Caenorhabditis elegans: one gene and its partner. The protein of the gene in region 2 interacts with the protein of the main gene of each other region in a pairwise test. Each region holds a gene or a part of one and is shown on either strand. Other genes may lie near its edges.

Region 1 (7,833 bases), on a different chromosome or scaffold from region 2:
CCAAATGAAAAAAAATTTAACTTAAATCTGAATCCGTATTTAAAAAAAAGTTAAAATCAATGATGACTCCAAAAAATTGAAAAAAACCAAACTTTCGATTTTTTGAAAATCTAAAAATTTGAGAAAATTGTACGGAAAAGACGAGAAAAAACGGGATATTGAAAATATGCTGATTTTAATTTTTTAAAGAATAAATTTCTTCAAAAAAAAAACTGGAAATTATTAAACAAAATTTTTAAAAAGCCGAAACATCTTTTTCTTATCAAATTCAACATTTTTTATGAATCTATATTTCTTATATGTATTTCCAAAAAATAATTCAAAAAAAATTTTATTTTTATTTTTTGATTTCTCGAAAAACTAAAAAAAATTATTTTTTTTAGTTTTTCGATTTTCATAAAAATTCCTAAATCTACACCATCAATTTCCAGTCAGAATTAAAAAATTTTCAGCATCCGCATCTCGACCACCACCACCAGCCCGCCGTACATCCCAAATCACTGCAGCCACCCCGACCGCTCCTTCAGTTGCCGAGCAACGAATGAATGGATCAACTATGGGAAGCCGTCAATCTCTGGATTCGGCTGGACTTTACGATCCAGCACATCCACAACAATTCTATCAAATGTCATCTTTCAATCGATCGAATAATGTGAATGGTCAAGCTTCAGCGACTGCAGCAGCAGCAAAATTTCGAATTTAAATAGATTTTAAATTTATTTAGTTTTTTTTTTCTTATTTTATTCGGAGTCTTTTGAATTGCAAAAATACTATGTTTGATACCAAAACGGGCATTTTCTATCTCTTTTTTCTATGTTTATTTTATTCCTTTTCCTTTTAAAATGTAGAATAACATTCGTACTGTATATAAAAAGCATGTTCTCCCTCAATTTGGGATCCCAATTGTTCTTTCTGACGAAAAAGATAAACGATTTTTGTTTTTTTTAATGCGTTATTCATCCAAAATATGTTTTATTTTTCAGAAAGTTTATTTGGACAGGCAAATAATTATTCCAAACATTTTGAAAAGTCGAAAAAAGAGAAAAGTTTATTTTAGGAAAAAAATTACTATATTTTTTGCATTTTTTTACCACAAAACTACGGTACCAGGTCTCGACACGACAAGTTTTGGTAAACATAAATGGGACTGCGCCTTTAAAGATTACTGTAGGTTGAAAACTTCGTTGCTGTGGTATTTTCATTTATTTTTATCTAAAGCTTGTGTGTTATGTTTTTATTATGTTATGCTGAATTTTTTAGTAAATAAATATATTTTTAATTAAATTAAAATTTTAGCGAAAAACTGTGTGCACCTTTAAAGAGGACTGTAATTTCAAACTGGAATTGTTTCGATTTTTCATAGTTTTTTCATGATCAGAGTTATATTCCAGCCCCTTTGAGATTCTCCAACTAGAAATATTCGATGTTTTTCAAAATATTACGAAAACTTCCTAACTATTTTCGTACATCTCAACTGTTAACATTCACTTTTTCATCACCTTATTTCACAATATTCATCATTTTCCCATCCCCCTGAAGAGAGTGAATGACTCACCACGGATAATGTGACGTCACTACTCAACAGTGTTTCTGGGCTCCGCCCACATCGATGCATCATCACCGCACACATTTTGTTGTTGTCTCACCGTCTGCGTCTCTTTTGAGTACTTCACATTCTTCTCTCATTTCATTTTATTTTTATTTTACCAATTCACACAGATTTTATCCATTTTTAGATGGCTTTTCAACAACCTAACTTGCAACAAATCTTCTCTTCTGTCGACAAGGATCGGTATGTTTTTATTAATAGTTTTAATAGTTAAATTGATATAACAATTTTAAAATTGGAGTAAATAAAATCAATAAATATGTTTCTCGTTGAAAATTTATTGTCAAAATTATGAATAAAAAAACAAAAAAAAATTTCGCTGTACCCGGTCTCGACACGACAAATTTCTGTTTTTGGAAAAATGTGTGTCCCTTTAAAGAGCACTGTAGTTTCAAACTTTTATTGCTGCGGAATTTTTATCGATTTTTCATAATTTTTTGATACAAAATATATTTATGTTTAAAAAAAATGAAACGCTCAAATTTGTATAAAATCACGAGAAAAAATATGAAAAATCGATGAACTTTGAAGCTATAGTACTCTTCAAAGGCGCGTATCTTTTAACAAAAACCAGAACTTGTCGTTTCGAGACTGGTTACCGTATTTTATGCGCAGAATATAATTTTTGTATTTTTTCAAGAGCCAAGAATCGCAAAAACAAACATTTATAAATTTAAAATTTTTATTTATATTTTTTTATTTAATATTTAATATTTAAAATTTTATTTATTATTTACATAATATTTAAAAATTAAACAAAATTTCCCAGTTTTCAGATCAGGGCAAATCAGTTCCGATGAGCTTCAAACTGCTCTCTCCAACGGAACATGGAACCCATTCAATCCGGAAACTTGCCGTTTAATGATCGGAATGTTCGACTCGAATGGAGACGGCGCAATCAATTTTCAAGAATTCCAGGTTTGAAAAAATATAAACCAGAATTTGTGAAAATAATCATATTTTCAGGCTCTGTGGAGATATATCAACGACTGGACAAACTGTTTCCGTGGTTTTGATACCGATGGTTCGGGAAATATTGATAAGAGTGAGCTGACCAATGCTCTCACACAATTTGGTTAGTTTTTAATCATAGAAAAGCGATAAGAAAATCGGAAACTCGATGACTGATCATATATTTCTTCAGGATACCGTCTCTCTCCACAATTCTACAACATCCTTATGCACAAATTCGACAGATCCCACAGTAATCGAATCAATTTCGACGATTTTATCCAACTTTGCGTCGTTCTTCAGACCCTCACTGCTGCCTTCAGGTTAGAAATCAGGGCTAAAATTGATTTAGAAATTTAGAGAAAAGCTCTTTTAAAAAATTCAAAATTTTTCAACAAAATTAAATATTACTTTAAAAATATTTTTAGATGGAACTAACTATTTTCTATGTTTCTATAGTAATTTTTGACCAAAAAATTTGGAGTATCATACTTTACAATCTGATTACTTAATTTTCAGAGACGTCGACACGGACCGCGATGGAGTCATCACCGTCGGCTACGAGCAGTTCCTGACAATGGTCTTTTCATTGAAAATGTGATTTTAAGAGTATTTAGAGAACCAACCACAATCCATTTTCGACCTAACACCTAGCACTTCTACTAGCTTCCATTCGAAAAAAAGTTAAATTCAATTTCGTTTTGTTTTCAGGTAGCTCGAAGTGTGTTCAATCGTCTGGGTTAATAATGTGATTTGCCGTTCCTCATGCTCTCTTTCCTCCTCGGATTCTTCGCATCATTAGCGTCTAATTAATTATGTTCAAATTTACTAATAAACGCTTTTAAAGTATGAATCATTCATAGTTTCGAGTATCAAAAGTGAATTTCCCAGTGGGATGAAAGAAGGATAATGAAAATAATGTTACAATCAGCAGTTAAATAGCGGAAACAGTTTCCTCGTCGACAGTGGTGTAGACCAATCCGTTCTCGACCATCTCACCGACGCACTTACGAACAATAGAAATGTTCGTTTCTTGAATTTGCTCAGCTATCCACGAAACATGTCGACCTTCGTCACGAGAACCCTCTGGCACAGCCATCAAGACGGCGGTAATGCGCTCTCTGAGCACATCTCCTTGGTTCGCTCCCGTCATCACTTTTTGCGGTTGAGCATACAATCTCTCCTTGGTGTCCGATCCTTGCGAGCTTTGATGCGATGTTTGTGACATTCTGCTCTTCGGTGGTGCCAGCATTCCTTGGAAGCCATCCGAGTCGACCGACTTCAGTTTCTCGCTCACGTTCTTTTGGAAGAACAGACGTGCAGCTTCTGCCTCGAGCTCGAAGATCGTGAAATCCTTGTCGTCTTCAACTGGAGTGATGTTGAACAGCATAATGGCTGAAATTATTTGAATTAAGATATATAATTGAAGGAAATATAAACTTACTATTGTTTCCATCGAATCCCTTGAGCTTTCCGATGGCTCGAACACGAGTTCCCTCGACAATTGAAGAATGATCGAATGTCGAACCCTCATTGTCATACTTGAGCGTACGATATTCCATCTCCGTGTTGTTTGGATCACAGAGGTCGTACGTGTACGTTGTCCCATCCTGACTGATATCCTTCACAATACCGACGGTCAACACCGTTGCGAATCGGAAAGTCCCGACGACATACTTGTCATCCTGCGCAGAAAAGTGCTCGATCAGATTGGAAATCGTGACCGGCACTGGGAGCCTCTCGCCGAGAGTTGTAGCCTTCGAGTCCTGTAAAAAATATTTATTTGAAAGTATGATTTATCTCTTATTCTTACAGGCTTTCTGTCGGTCATAAACGACGACTCTCCAGCGGCCCATCCGTTTCCTGCGTTCTCGTGCTCGACAGTCTCGTTCCACATGGTTAGTAGTTTCTGGAAAGATGAAAATAGATTAGAAATGCGAGAAAAATGAAGGAAAGAAAGGGAAGGTGAATAATTAGCGTTTATCAACAGATTCCAGAGAGACAAGATGTGTTACATATTTTAGAAACACTGAAACATAAATTTTAACTTTTTAACAGAAAAATTTAGTAAAAAACTGATATGATGTCGAAAATGGAGCTAAAATTATGCAATACTTAGTTTGAACGGCCAATTTCGCGCGTTTCTATAGAGCGCGCTTACTTCACTAGGTTTCAAAACAAAATATTCCGCGAACACAGGGAAAACCATTAAAAAGAAAAATAAATCATAAAGAATTATTTACTCAGGAATTCAGTGTACATGTATTTTTGGATAATGTGAAAAATCTGAAAGTGAAGGCCAGAAAATTTATATGAATCTAACACTAAAGCACTGGCAAGATGAAAATATAAGCGCAGGAAGTCTTAATATCACAAAAAGACAAGCAACGATAAAGTGAATGAACTAAATTTTATGAAAAAAGAAGAAAAATGAGAGTGACAGCTCACTTTTATAGTCCTTGCGTAGGAGAATCACGTGTATTCAGCTCGACCCACGGCCCGGCGGGGGGTACATGGACGAGGATTCTCTACCGTATTCCAATTTGGCTGACTGCGTGCTCAACGTTGAATACTCAGTGTAAACTTTCGTACACCGTTGCGTACTGCACAGCGCGCATTTTAATTGACGACATTTCGCGAAAATTAACAGAAGATTTTTTTCGGAATTATAGAGCTAAAATTGAAAAAACTATCAGATTTTCATCGAATTTGTGAAGAATCGTAAGTATGAAGATTTGTTCTTCACGATATTCAAGGAAAATCGATATTTGGTTTTTCACAGACAAATTCTATCGCATTTCACTCGACGAGACCCGAAGAACTCGGGGGATGTCCAACTGGGGGGATTCCCAACTCGGGGGATTGGCCACGCCCACAGAACCGTGCCTTACAATACGCCCATTTCTGCAACCTCCGCACGGTTTTGAATGATGATTTTCTTCATTGTTTTTTGGGGGAGAAAAATCAATTTCGACTCTAAAAACTTCAATTTGAATTGTTTTTCTTCGTTTTTTCAGCCATTTTCGCAAAAAAAAGTATTTTTCAACCGTGACTTGTTAATTCGCCCTCCTTAATTCGTGTATTCCTTTTGTTAATCTCTTTCCCTCTCATATTTTATTAATTTTTTTAATTTCTAGACTTCGTCGAATCGAGGGACCATCAAAATTGCACGGATGAAACAAGGATGTGCTTCTCCAGTCCACCTACGTGAGTATTATATTCTCAAATTGTAGAAAGTAGGAAAAAAAATTGATTTAAGAACAAAAATTGAAATAGTTTAACAAAAAATTAATGAAATATCTTCGGATCGAACATAGATGGACTTATACAGGCATTGAAATCGTTGAAACAGCTATAATTTGCTGTCACTGCTCTTTTGAAGTCGGAATTTCTGTATAGTGGCGGGCGATCAGTTCTTCTTCGCAATAACCATGTTCTTTTCGATTGTACGTCTCTGTGAACGTTAAAACTCCAAACCGTAGACTTCTCAATTGAATTGTGTAGAATTTTGTAATTGGTATGGTGGAAAAGACGCTAGAAATTTGATTTTTGTTCACTTTTCCGTATCCATTAAGAGAAAAGTGTACCTGTAGCATTCATTTAAGCCAAAGGCCTCTAAAAACTAAGCGAATCTGATAATAGACGAGATAAAATCTTTTTTCATTTATATATCAGCGATGTCATTATGAAAGTTCTAATTTAAATTTTTCAGATCCGCCCGAGCTGCTCATCCTCCAAATTCTTCCGTTTTCATGACAAATTATTGTTTTTTTTGTTGAAATTATGTAATTCATTAAATGTAATATTATCCTTATCTGTAAATAATTATCATGATCAATAAAATATCGCTCTTAATGTTCAATGAATAGCTTGCAAACCAATTTGTACAATTATTTCATTGAACAATTTCCGCCGGCTCTGAAAAACATTTCATGGCAATTTTTCAGGTTATCTTATTCGAATTTTTTAAATAGAACTCGTTCTACGTTCTTTACTTCGTCTCCTCTCGTGTAAATTGTTCTTTCCTTGCAAATAATCGATTTTTACGCGTCCCCTTTCCGTGTAAATTGTTGTTTCACTGCGAAAAATCGATTTTTTAAAAATATTTTTCTTTTATTCCGCGAAAACGACTCAAAAACCGAAAAAAACAATTCAAATTGAACTTTTTAGAGTCGAAATTGATTTTTCTCCCCCAAAAAACGATGAAAAAAATCATCATTCAAAACCGTGCGGAGGTTGCAGAAATGGGCGTATTGTAAGGCACGGTTCTGTGGGCGTGGCCAATCCCCCGAGTTGGGAATCCCCCAGTTGGACATCCCCCGAGTTCTTCGGGTCTCCACTCGACGGCAGTTGCTGATGAGCTTTTTTGATCGACGTTAGGGCGATAGAAGTTTGTTGATAAAATGAATGAATAATATAGAGAGCCGTGCCGCCAAACCGCAAGTGTCACAATTTACGTGCAAATGTGATATTTTAACGCAAAACGCAATAATTATTAAGTCCCAAATTTTTCCTGCGATTTTCTGCTAAATTCCTAGTTCTGAATTCGGGTTAAACAGTCTGATATATTCATGATTATAACAATAACAAAAACGAACATAATAATAAAAATGGAGAACGCAGAAAACCAATAAATTGCAAAACAACAACTGATATTAGAATTGACGACGACCACGGAAACCGCCTCAATCTCCACCTTGCCCACCACGGAAGCCACCACCTCCGTCACGTCCTCTGAATCCTCCTCGGTCGTCACTTCTACGGAAGCCACCACGAGCTTCTCTTCTTCCTCTGAATCCACCTCGGAAAACACCACGACTATCCTCATATCTTGGACGCTTCGAGGCTTCAGTTGTTCCCCATTCCTCGTTGGCACGCTTCAGATTTCTGAAAATATATCAAATTAGAAGCATTAAATTATTGAAATCTGTACCTCTCCCGATTCATCACAATCTCTCTATCCTTCTCCGTCTGATTTTCAACTTCTTCAACTTGTCCAGTAGTAGCACCTTGCTTACGAGTAGCATTCTCTCGAATTTCCTTCACCTCTGTCTCCTCAGCATCCTGTTGCCCCTTGACAATCGTACGTCTTCGAATAACCCGTTTTTCGCTTTCCTACACACGGTGCTTCTTTAAGTGCTTCTTCTTGTCCATATAAACTCTCAGTCTTAACAGTTCGTCTAGAGTCTTCGTAGTATGCTATAGAGAACTTCTCCCTCATCGATTCCTTCTTCAATTTCGACGAGTTCCAGGGTCACTCGGGGTTCGATGGA
Region 2 (8,274 bases):
GGATTTCGCAAGTCAATTCCGGATTCTTTGGTTGCACCGTTTGTGGCTCTTTCAATTGGGTCTGCAAAAAGTTTTGGTCGGAGAGAATCATCAGTTCTTGAACTTCACTAACCGCAAAATCCCACATCGTCATCCCTTCACTCTGCGATCGCTGAAGCGCCAGACAAGAATCTAAAAAAAACAATCTATGAGTGAAAGTGACGTTAAATTTCGCGCTAATAAATGATTTTATCCCAAATTTACCACTGTATCCTCGTGTTCATCGAAATATAATGGACAATGGAAGCCAAACATATTCAAAAATGTGAAAAAGTAACAACTATAAATTGGTGGAAGAAATTCTGTTGAATTTGCAAAATTAAAATTATAATTACAAGAAACTATGTTTAAAATGAATGATTCCGCAAAGAAATTAGTTGACACAATTTTTTTTGCGCGGTCCGCAATAGTTCGTCGGGGTCACGTACAATTGTCAACCGTAACACGGCCCGGCAAAGGGTACATCAGTGTAAACGCGCTCTACGGATAATTGAGTTTAGCCAGGTTTGGGCGCGTTTTAAGGAAAAAAACCATTTTTTATATGCATCACAAAAATGTTGGACCATCCGTTTTTGAGAAAAACGCGCCCCAACGCCCAGGTGTACGGTAGACAAATTGCGTACAGGTACCACTTCTCGGGCGGTGCGTAACCTTTAATTCTTTAAGTCTAGAATAGGGCTGTGCGGTTGATGACTCGGCTGATGGAGAAAATCAAGTTTTTCAACGTGTTAGCAATGACCAATTAGGGAATACTTGTATTTGCAGTATCGGCTGAGTCATGAGCTTCTTATTCTAGAAGAAATTTTTTTAAAAGTGCACACACCTTCACAAAACAGTCGGTTTTTCAAATCAGCCGAGTAACTCGGCTGTCGGCTGTCGGCTGATTGGAAAAACGAGTCTTTCAGGAAAGTGTGTGCACTTTTTCAAAAAATTTCTTCTAGAATAAGAAGCTCATGGCTCGGCAGATATGGCAAATACAAGTATTCCCTAATTGATCATTGCTAACACGTTGAAAAACGTTAATCTGTTCCATCAGCCGAGCCATCAGCAGCACAGCCCTATTCTAGACTCTAGAAGACAAATGACTTGACAGTTTTATGAAAACTTTAAAATGTTTTAAATATTGCTTACTGAAAAAATTGAACTTGAACATCAAAAATTGAAGAATTGAAAGCCTGATTACGAAAATAAACTTTACGGGGTGACGACTTTCAAATATGTGTATATGTGTAGATGCATTTTTTCAAAGAATTCATACAGTAATATGAAAATATAAAATGTTAAAAAATGGAATTGAGCATTTTCTTCAGTTCAAAACTTGAAAATAGAAATTATGAAAAAGCTAATATATTTGAAAAATATTAGGTCGACAAAAAAGTATTGACGTGCTTTGCAATTTCACGATTTTTTGAAAATTTTACATATGTGATGTATAGTAAGCAGTGAGAATATGAAAACATATAAGTTTCATCTATTATACTTTGGTCCTCTGCGTAGTAATCGAAAATTTTTTGAAATTTTTTTTCTTGATTTTTTGAGTTAGCCGTTGGAGACTTGATGCTAATATACAAATCAATTAATGCTATTTTTGTTTAGTGCAAAAAATGAATTCCAACTCCATTGAGCCATTCCAAAATTTTTTTATAGTGAACCAAAGGCAAAATGCGAACCACACAAAAAATACGACCTTTTTCAATTTTGATTAATTCTTGAACGTATTCATGATAAAATAAATACAATTATTACTTTTATTCATTTTATTAAAATACCAGCCATTTCCTTTAGATTTCGCAACTTTTCAAAATTCAATATTTTCTTAAAGTCTGGTATTTGGATAACTTTTACACTTTACTAATGACAATTTTTCAAATTAAAAACATCAAATTTATTCGATTTGAAAATTTTTGTTGTATACTTACTGTATTTCTTCATAGATTGACTTTTTTAAACAAAAATGCTCAATTCAAATATTATTATTGTTTTTGATTTGAAAAATTGTCATCGACAAAGTGTAAAAGTTATCCAAATACCAGACTTTGAAAAAAAATTGAACTTTGCGATTGAAAATTGCGAAATCTACAGGAAATGACTTGAATTTAAAAAAAAAAAGAACTCATCTAGAAATGAGCCAAAAATATCTGCAAATTCACTAAAACTGACTCTTTAAATTAATAAAAAAGTTATTTTTCGATAATCAGATAGATATCGATTTTTTTGTTTTATTTTTCACATTAATTAAAGACATATCTCTATTTTTTTAAATCTTTTTTTCTCATTACAATTAATGTATTTGTGGGAAAAGTTAGCTTTTCAAAGTAACCAAGAATGGAAACGGAAATAGTTTTGGATATATACTTGCAACATATGTATGCCTTTAAAAATAAAAGAGTTATTGTTTTCTTGGCTGACAGCCAAAAAAATAATTGAAACTCGGATGTCGGCGTGAGTCGATAGCCAAAAAAGTGATTCGGCTGTCGGCGTGTATGGTGTGAACCGACAGCCGAGAAAAAATAAACACTCGGCTGTCGCTGACAACCGAATTTTTCCATCAGCCGCACAGCCTTGGTATAAATCGACCGATAAGTTTCTTCATTTCGAGAGCTTCCAAGCCCTGTACTATGTATCTTTGTTTGATGGGATCCAAGTGCGGTGGACAGCTCACAGGTGGTTTAAAAAGGATCCGTTGCCACGTCTTTTTTCAACGTATCAAAATCCAATTAATACAATTCATGGGGTCTCATGACCCTCGAGAGAAAAGCCGTCCTTCTCGAAGCGTTGGTACCAATTGTGTATTGTATTATAGTGAGGGGCATATGTATGATAAACATTCTCAGGGAAACATCGTTGGCTAACTGAGCTGAGGCAAGAGGGAAAAGAATGGGGCGTTGTTTAAAATTAAGTACCTTCACTCGTTGGTGTACCCTAGCAACAAGGCAATACCGAAGTGCAACTGCGGTGAGCGGTGAAAAAGCAAACCCAGTCACAAAGACTTCCAGTTCAACCTAATGTTTAATGGTTTCTATGTTTTTGACAAATACCCATTTTGAGGAACACATTATTTTTTAATCAAGGATTTAGATTAAAACATCATTTTTATGGTTTATTTTAGGAACATTTTATTAGATTGTTTGGTTTTTCTGAGAATCCTGAGAACTGAGAAATCGAAACTTTTTGTTTTTCGATTTTCAATTTTTCGATTTTCCCATGAAAAAATCGAAAAATCGAAAAAAAAAACCGACAAATGAAAAAATGATACTGTTGTTTGTAATTAATAGTTTTGCAAACTTTCTTCTAAATACATGTGAATTTAATTGTTTCTTTTCTTTGAAATGAAGATCGAGATAATCACGAAAAAAAATTTCAAAAATTTTTCGATTTTTTCAAATCTTAATATTACGCAGATGGCCAAAGTAGCTTAAATTTATAAGCTTTCCTATACTCACTGCCTACTATGAGTCACATATATAAAATTTACAAAAAATCGTAAAATGGCAAAATACGTTCATAATTATTTGCCGACCTAATTGTTGACAGCTCAGATAAGTGCGTTGGGGAAACACCTCTGACGTCAAGTATATTCAGCGACAAGAGAGATACTGGCGGTTTCGGAGTGCCATCGAGAAAGAAGAGATAAGCGGTGTGAATAAGATAACACAATTGTTTGCCACAAAACCCCTTTATTGCTCATAGAATAACAAGTAATTAGGGTCAGTAGGTCCAGAGACGACCGCTCACAGTGGAGCGGCCGACATCCAACGAGGCCGACATTGATGGTGGAATGTGTGGAGCCAGATGTTGTGGTGGACCGTTGGTGAACGTGTTGAACGACTTGAGTGACTTGAGTGACTTGAGTGAGCGGAGCGGCTTACATTTTAGGCCAGGGATAATTATACGAAAGGGGGAGCTGCGCCTTTAAGGGCGCGGCAAGACCATTTGGATGGGATTCCAATAAGGAAGCGTACTGGAGACGAGTTAACGGGGGAAACGCGGGTGAATGGAATTGTATTAGAGGTTTTGAGGTATGGCGATCATGATAGAGTCATGGAGCCATCCTCAAAAGGTCACTAATTTGGGAGATGGGATTGTTTCCCAGCCCATCTCACAACACTAATACCAAAATTTTAGCTAAAGAACATTCGGAGAATGAACATCTAATAACAGTTGTGTCAGGAATTAGATCACATTTAGTTTTAATTACTCCTTCTTATTCTTCGGCGCCCATTGGTCTTTAGTGCCACAAGTGTACAAGGCATAATTAAGAAGAGTTGGCCAGAAATATCTGAGGAAAACTGCAAAGCGAGCACCAAATGGAGCCATGTCAAAGTCCGACACTCGATCACGGATTGCATCGGAAATCATGCGTGCAGAGTGTTCCGGTGAATATCCCTGCAATCAGTATAGTTCGAAGAACCTGTTAGAAAGAGTAAGAGTGAAACTAGTGTCGCAGGCTATTTAAATAGTTAGATGCGCCACTCAGACAGAGCAGTAGCAACGAAATTAATCTCATTTTGTTAAAACGCATTCTTACTTTCTTTTGGTTTTCATCCTCTACCCCAACAACTTTCCCATCGGTGTTCAAAGCTCTCGATCCAAAACCGGTGTTGATGTATCCAGCGGAGACCACCAAAATGTGCAGGTTCTTGTGCTCGGCGCGAAGACAATCAAAGTATCCTTGAAGTGCATGCTTACTTGCAGAATATGACCTACAGCGCCAACTCATGTGAATCAAAACCGAGAAAGACATTTAGTTTGGCGCTGCAGATCGCTAGGTCGCAGGTCGCAATTCTACCTAGGTCGCAATGCTACCTAGCGACCTATGTAGGTCGCACTCTCGGCACCTACTAGCTACTGCGCGCCCCCTCTGCGCAAAAAACGCGCGCACCGGTTGCGTATCGACCACGCCCACAAATTCTTGAGAGGTTGTTGAGATTTATTTGTTCGAACGCATTCCATTTTTCTCTTTTTTTTCAGCTTTTTTTGTTTATTTTCGTTTTTCTAACTTTTGAATTCTTACATTTTCTCGATTTTATCAATTTCAAAAGTATTTGCTTATAACAACATTTCGCAAAAATTGGCTTATTTTTGGATATTTTTCAATCACTCGATGCCCAAATTGGCCAAGATTTCACCAGTTTACTGGATAAAACATTTATAACAATTTAGCGACACCAAATCTGTGCCAATTGTCACAATTTCAATTTTTCTTTTTTGGTCCAAAATCCACGAAAAATGTCAAAAACTGAAACAATTTTCCTGGAATATATATTTAAGCCGATCAGTATTTCGAAATTTATTTTCTCGCGGTTTTTCCTGAACTTGTGAAGCTTACGTTGGTTTTTCGTGTTAGAGTGTTAGAAAAGTTAATTTAAGCTTTAATAATATAAATTGTTCCACAAAAGATCATTGAAAAATTGGACTTTCTCTTGTTTTATCCAAATAATGAACATTTTGGTTGCCATTGTTTCCTTTAGTACTTTTCTTCATTTTCTTCATTCCGCAAAATAATTTCTTCAATCAAATAAAACGTAAACTTTTTCAGAAAACTACAGAAACGACCCTGATCGCCCAGAACATGACGGACAAATTGGCGAGTGTGTCAATTGAGAAGTTAGTTTATTTTTCAAGCAAATAGAAGATTAGGTATGAGCTTTTTTTCATAATACTAATTTTCCAGTTCCAACGATCGGACGCTTATAGAGTTGCCAACCGAAATGCTCACTGAGATTATCAAGAGAGTCAATCCAATCAATCGGTAAAATCAAAGTTTTAATTTCATTAATAAAAAAAACAACTTTCAGACTTGCTCTTCGTAAAGTCTGTCGGATTTTGCGAAAGATTGTTGATGAAAATCCAGGAGTCGAGTCTGTCACCTCGGCAGTCGACGATTTATCTCTCACTACGCGGAATTTAACCGGAAACTTTTGCGTTACGTACGGAATTCAAGGTTCCGGTTGTTTGATTTCTAGTGATTACTGCTGCACGAAATATATCGAAAAGCCCCGCTTGATGATGAAGCTTGACGATTTAACCGTAATTTTGAAGAATCCACGGCAACGATTGGATGATCTCAACATTTTTGGTGGTTCAGATTCGGTCGCAGTTGCAACGTGGTTCAGAGATACTTTCAATCCAGAAAATATGCTTCATACCAAAAAGGTTTTTTTGGGAAACTTGGAATTCAATGATGTTATCACTATCATTTCAACTTTGAAACCCGGATTCCTTCAAAAAATTGACTATGCCAGTTTGTTGCAACATGAACGTTCGCATGAAGTTTTCGAGCTTGAACAATGGAAACAGGCGAAAGAGGTTATCAGTCCAATGTCATCATTTCGTAGCTTCCCCATTGAGAACATGTTCCATCTGTCTCGTTTTTGGCTTGGCTTTCCAGGATTATCAATTTCTGATGCAATTAAAATCAGAGATGTGAGTTCGAAATAATGAACTGTGTAATTTATTGTGACTATTTGCAGATTCTCTTGAAATCCGCTCACTTCAAAAATGGAATAATTGATTTGAAAGATGAGATGACACCAGAAGTTGCGCGAGTTTTTAATCCAAACTTCTCTGCTCACAATATCAATGGAATTAAGAACAAAATCGATCGCTTTCTTGTCATAATTTATGAAAGACGTTTGGCAATCAATTAATTGTTGTCCCCCCAGAAATTCGAGGAAATGATATTTTCACCATGACTCTTTTCATCTTCAATGCGTCCTGTTGTTTTCTTCTGTTCTTTACCGGTTTCTTGTTACGTTTACTCTTGTTTTCTTTTTTTTTGTTCTAATGTCTTCTGAAATGCAAACTTATTTGCTTTGATTCTCAATAAATGAATGAGATAAAACGTATCCAATACACACGTTATTTTCTTTCCAGACAGAATGAATTTCGTGAAAAATGGCTAAAATTTCACCAGTTTCCTGGATAAAACATGTAAAACAATTTATCGACTTCACATCTGTGCCTATCGTCTCAATTTCAAATTTGACTTTCAAATTTTTGGACGAAATCCACGAAAAATCTCAAAAATTGGCACATTGATTGATATTTTTCAATCAATCTCAAATTGGCTAAAATTTTACCAGTTTACTAGATAAAGCATGTAAAGTATTTTATCGACATTGAATCTTTGCTAGTTATCACAATTTTACAATTCTCAATTTTTAATTTTTGGACTGAAATCCACAAAAAATCGCAAAAATTGGCAGATTTTAAGATTTTTTCAATTACTTGAAGCTCAACTCCGCCAAAATTTTACCAGTTTCCTATATCAAATACATATATACGACACACAGCGAACCGTTTTCCTGAAAATCAAGAGAAATTTGTAGTAAATGTTACCCGAAATTATGATTTTCAATTCGAAAACAAGCCGAAAATGAGTTTATCGTTTTTTATTAGGAATTATATTTGTTCATTTACTTTTTTGATATGAAAAATAGTTTTGTTGAAGTGAATTAGTCCGCAACGAACAAAAATTTGAGAAACCATCTCGTGTTTTTATTACACTATTGTTTATCATATCAAACGTTCTCCATTCATTGTAAAAACTAAGTTTTTAATTTTAAAACATGAGAGATCATTAAAAATTAGAATACAGAATTATTTTGAACAAAATGGCATCGGATGTGCATTGAAATGAAAGAAACACGCAGTATTAATTTAATAAACGTTCACTTTTAACAGGTTATGATGTTAAATCCTGGTTTCAAAGATTATGAAGTGTATGATTTTCGATTTTATTCAGAAACATACTCTAACGTTAGACTTCATAAGCTCAACTTCAGTAATCCGTTCAATGTCTGGAAAATGGACGAAAAAAGCGTTATCTATATATTCCGAACTGGAAACTTTTATTTTATAATGAAAAACTCCACTTAAATGATTTTTTGCGTCGAAAATCATTTCATTCTCTCTGAAAAGACACTGAAAAACCGACATAATTGTCTTCAAAACTTAAAAAATGCAAGCGCGCCCCAGCGCACACTTTTGAGTTTTATTGGCTACAAATTCTTGCCCTAGGTCGCTGTGCTACATCAAATATGTGCTAACGCTGCACAGGTCAGCTGCCTATTATCGATTCAGAATAGTCCATTCTCCTTTGTGCGTCAGAGTCCTCTTCATAGTAGCCGATAATATTACGTCAGTTGCTCTTTTTTTTCTGTCTCCCATTAGCCCTCACTTGTCCACTCCACAATTGCCTTAACCAACCTTCTCTGTCATTTGGTCTGTACT

Evidence for each region.
Region 1: the proteins of C33E10.10 (region 2) and rpa-2 interact in a two-hybrid assay, tested with the Caenorhabditis elegans proteins (one large-scale study listed by BioGRID).

The regions. Positions count from the first base shown.
Region 1 is NC_003279.8:4,766,928-4,774,760, reverse strand, and holds rpa-2 (Replication protein A C-terminal domain-containing protein), read right to left. Parts: upstream 4,470-7,833; 5' UTR 4,458-4,469; coding exon 4,374-4,457; intron 4,327-4,373; coding exon 4,005-4,326; intron 3,956-4,004; coding exon 3,495-3,955; 3' UTR 3,403-3,494; downstream 1-3,402. Other genes in the region: M04F3.5 (IMD domain-containing protein), read left to right, coding at 453-703; M04F3.4 (EF-hand domain-containing protein), read left to right, coding at 1,737-1,792, 2,386-2,527, 2,576-2,684, 2,754-2,883, 3,080-3,157, 3,272-3,275.
Region 2 is NC_003284.9:17,297,141-17,305,414, forward strand, and holds C33E10.10 (DeHydrogenases, Short chain), read right to left. Parts: upstream 4,861-8,274; 5' UTR 4,784-4,860; coding exon 4,568-4,783; intron 4,426-4,567; coding exon 4,234-4,425; 3' UTR 3,700-4,233; downstream 1-3,699. Other genes in the region: fbxa-120 (F-box domain-containing protein), read left to right, coding at 5,612-5,646, 5,714-5,791, 5,838-6,465, 6,513-6,689.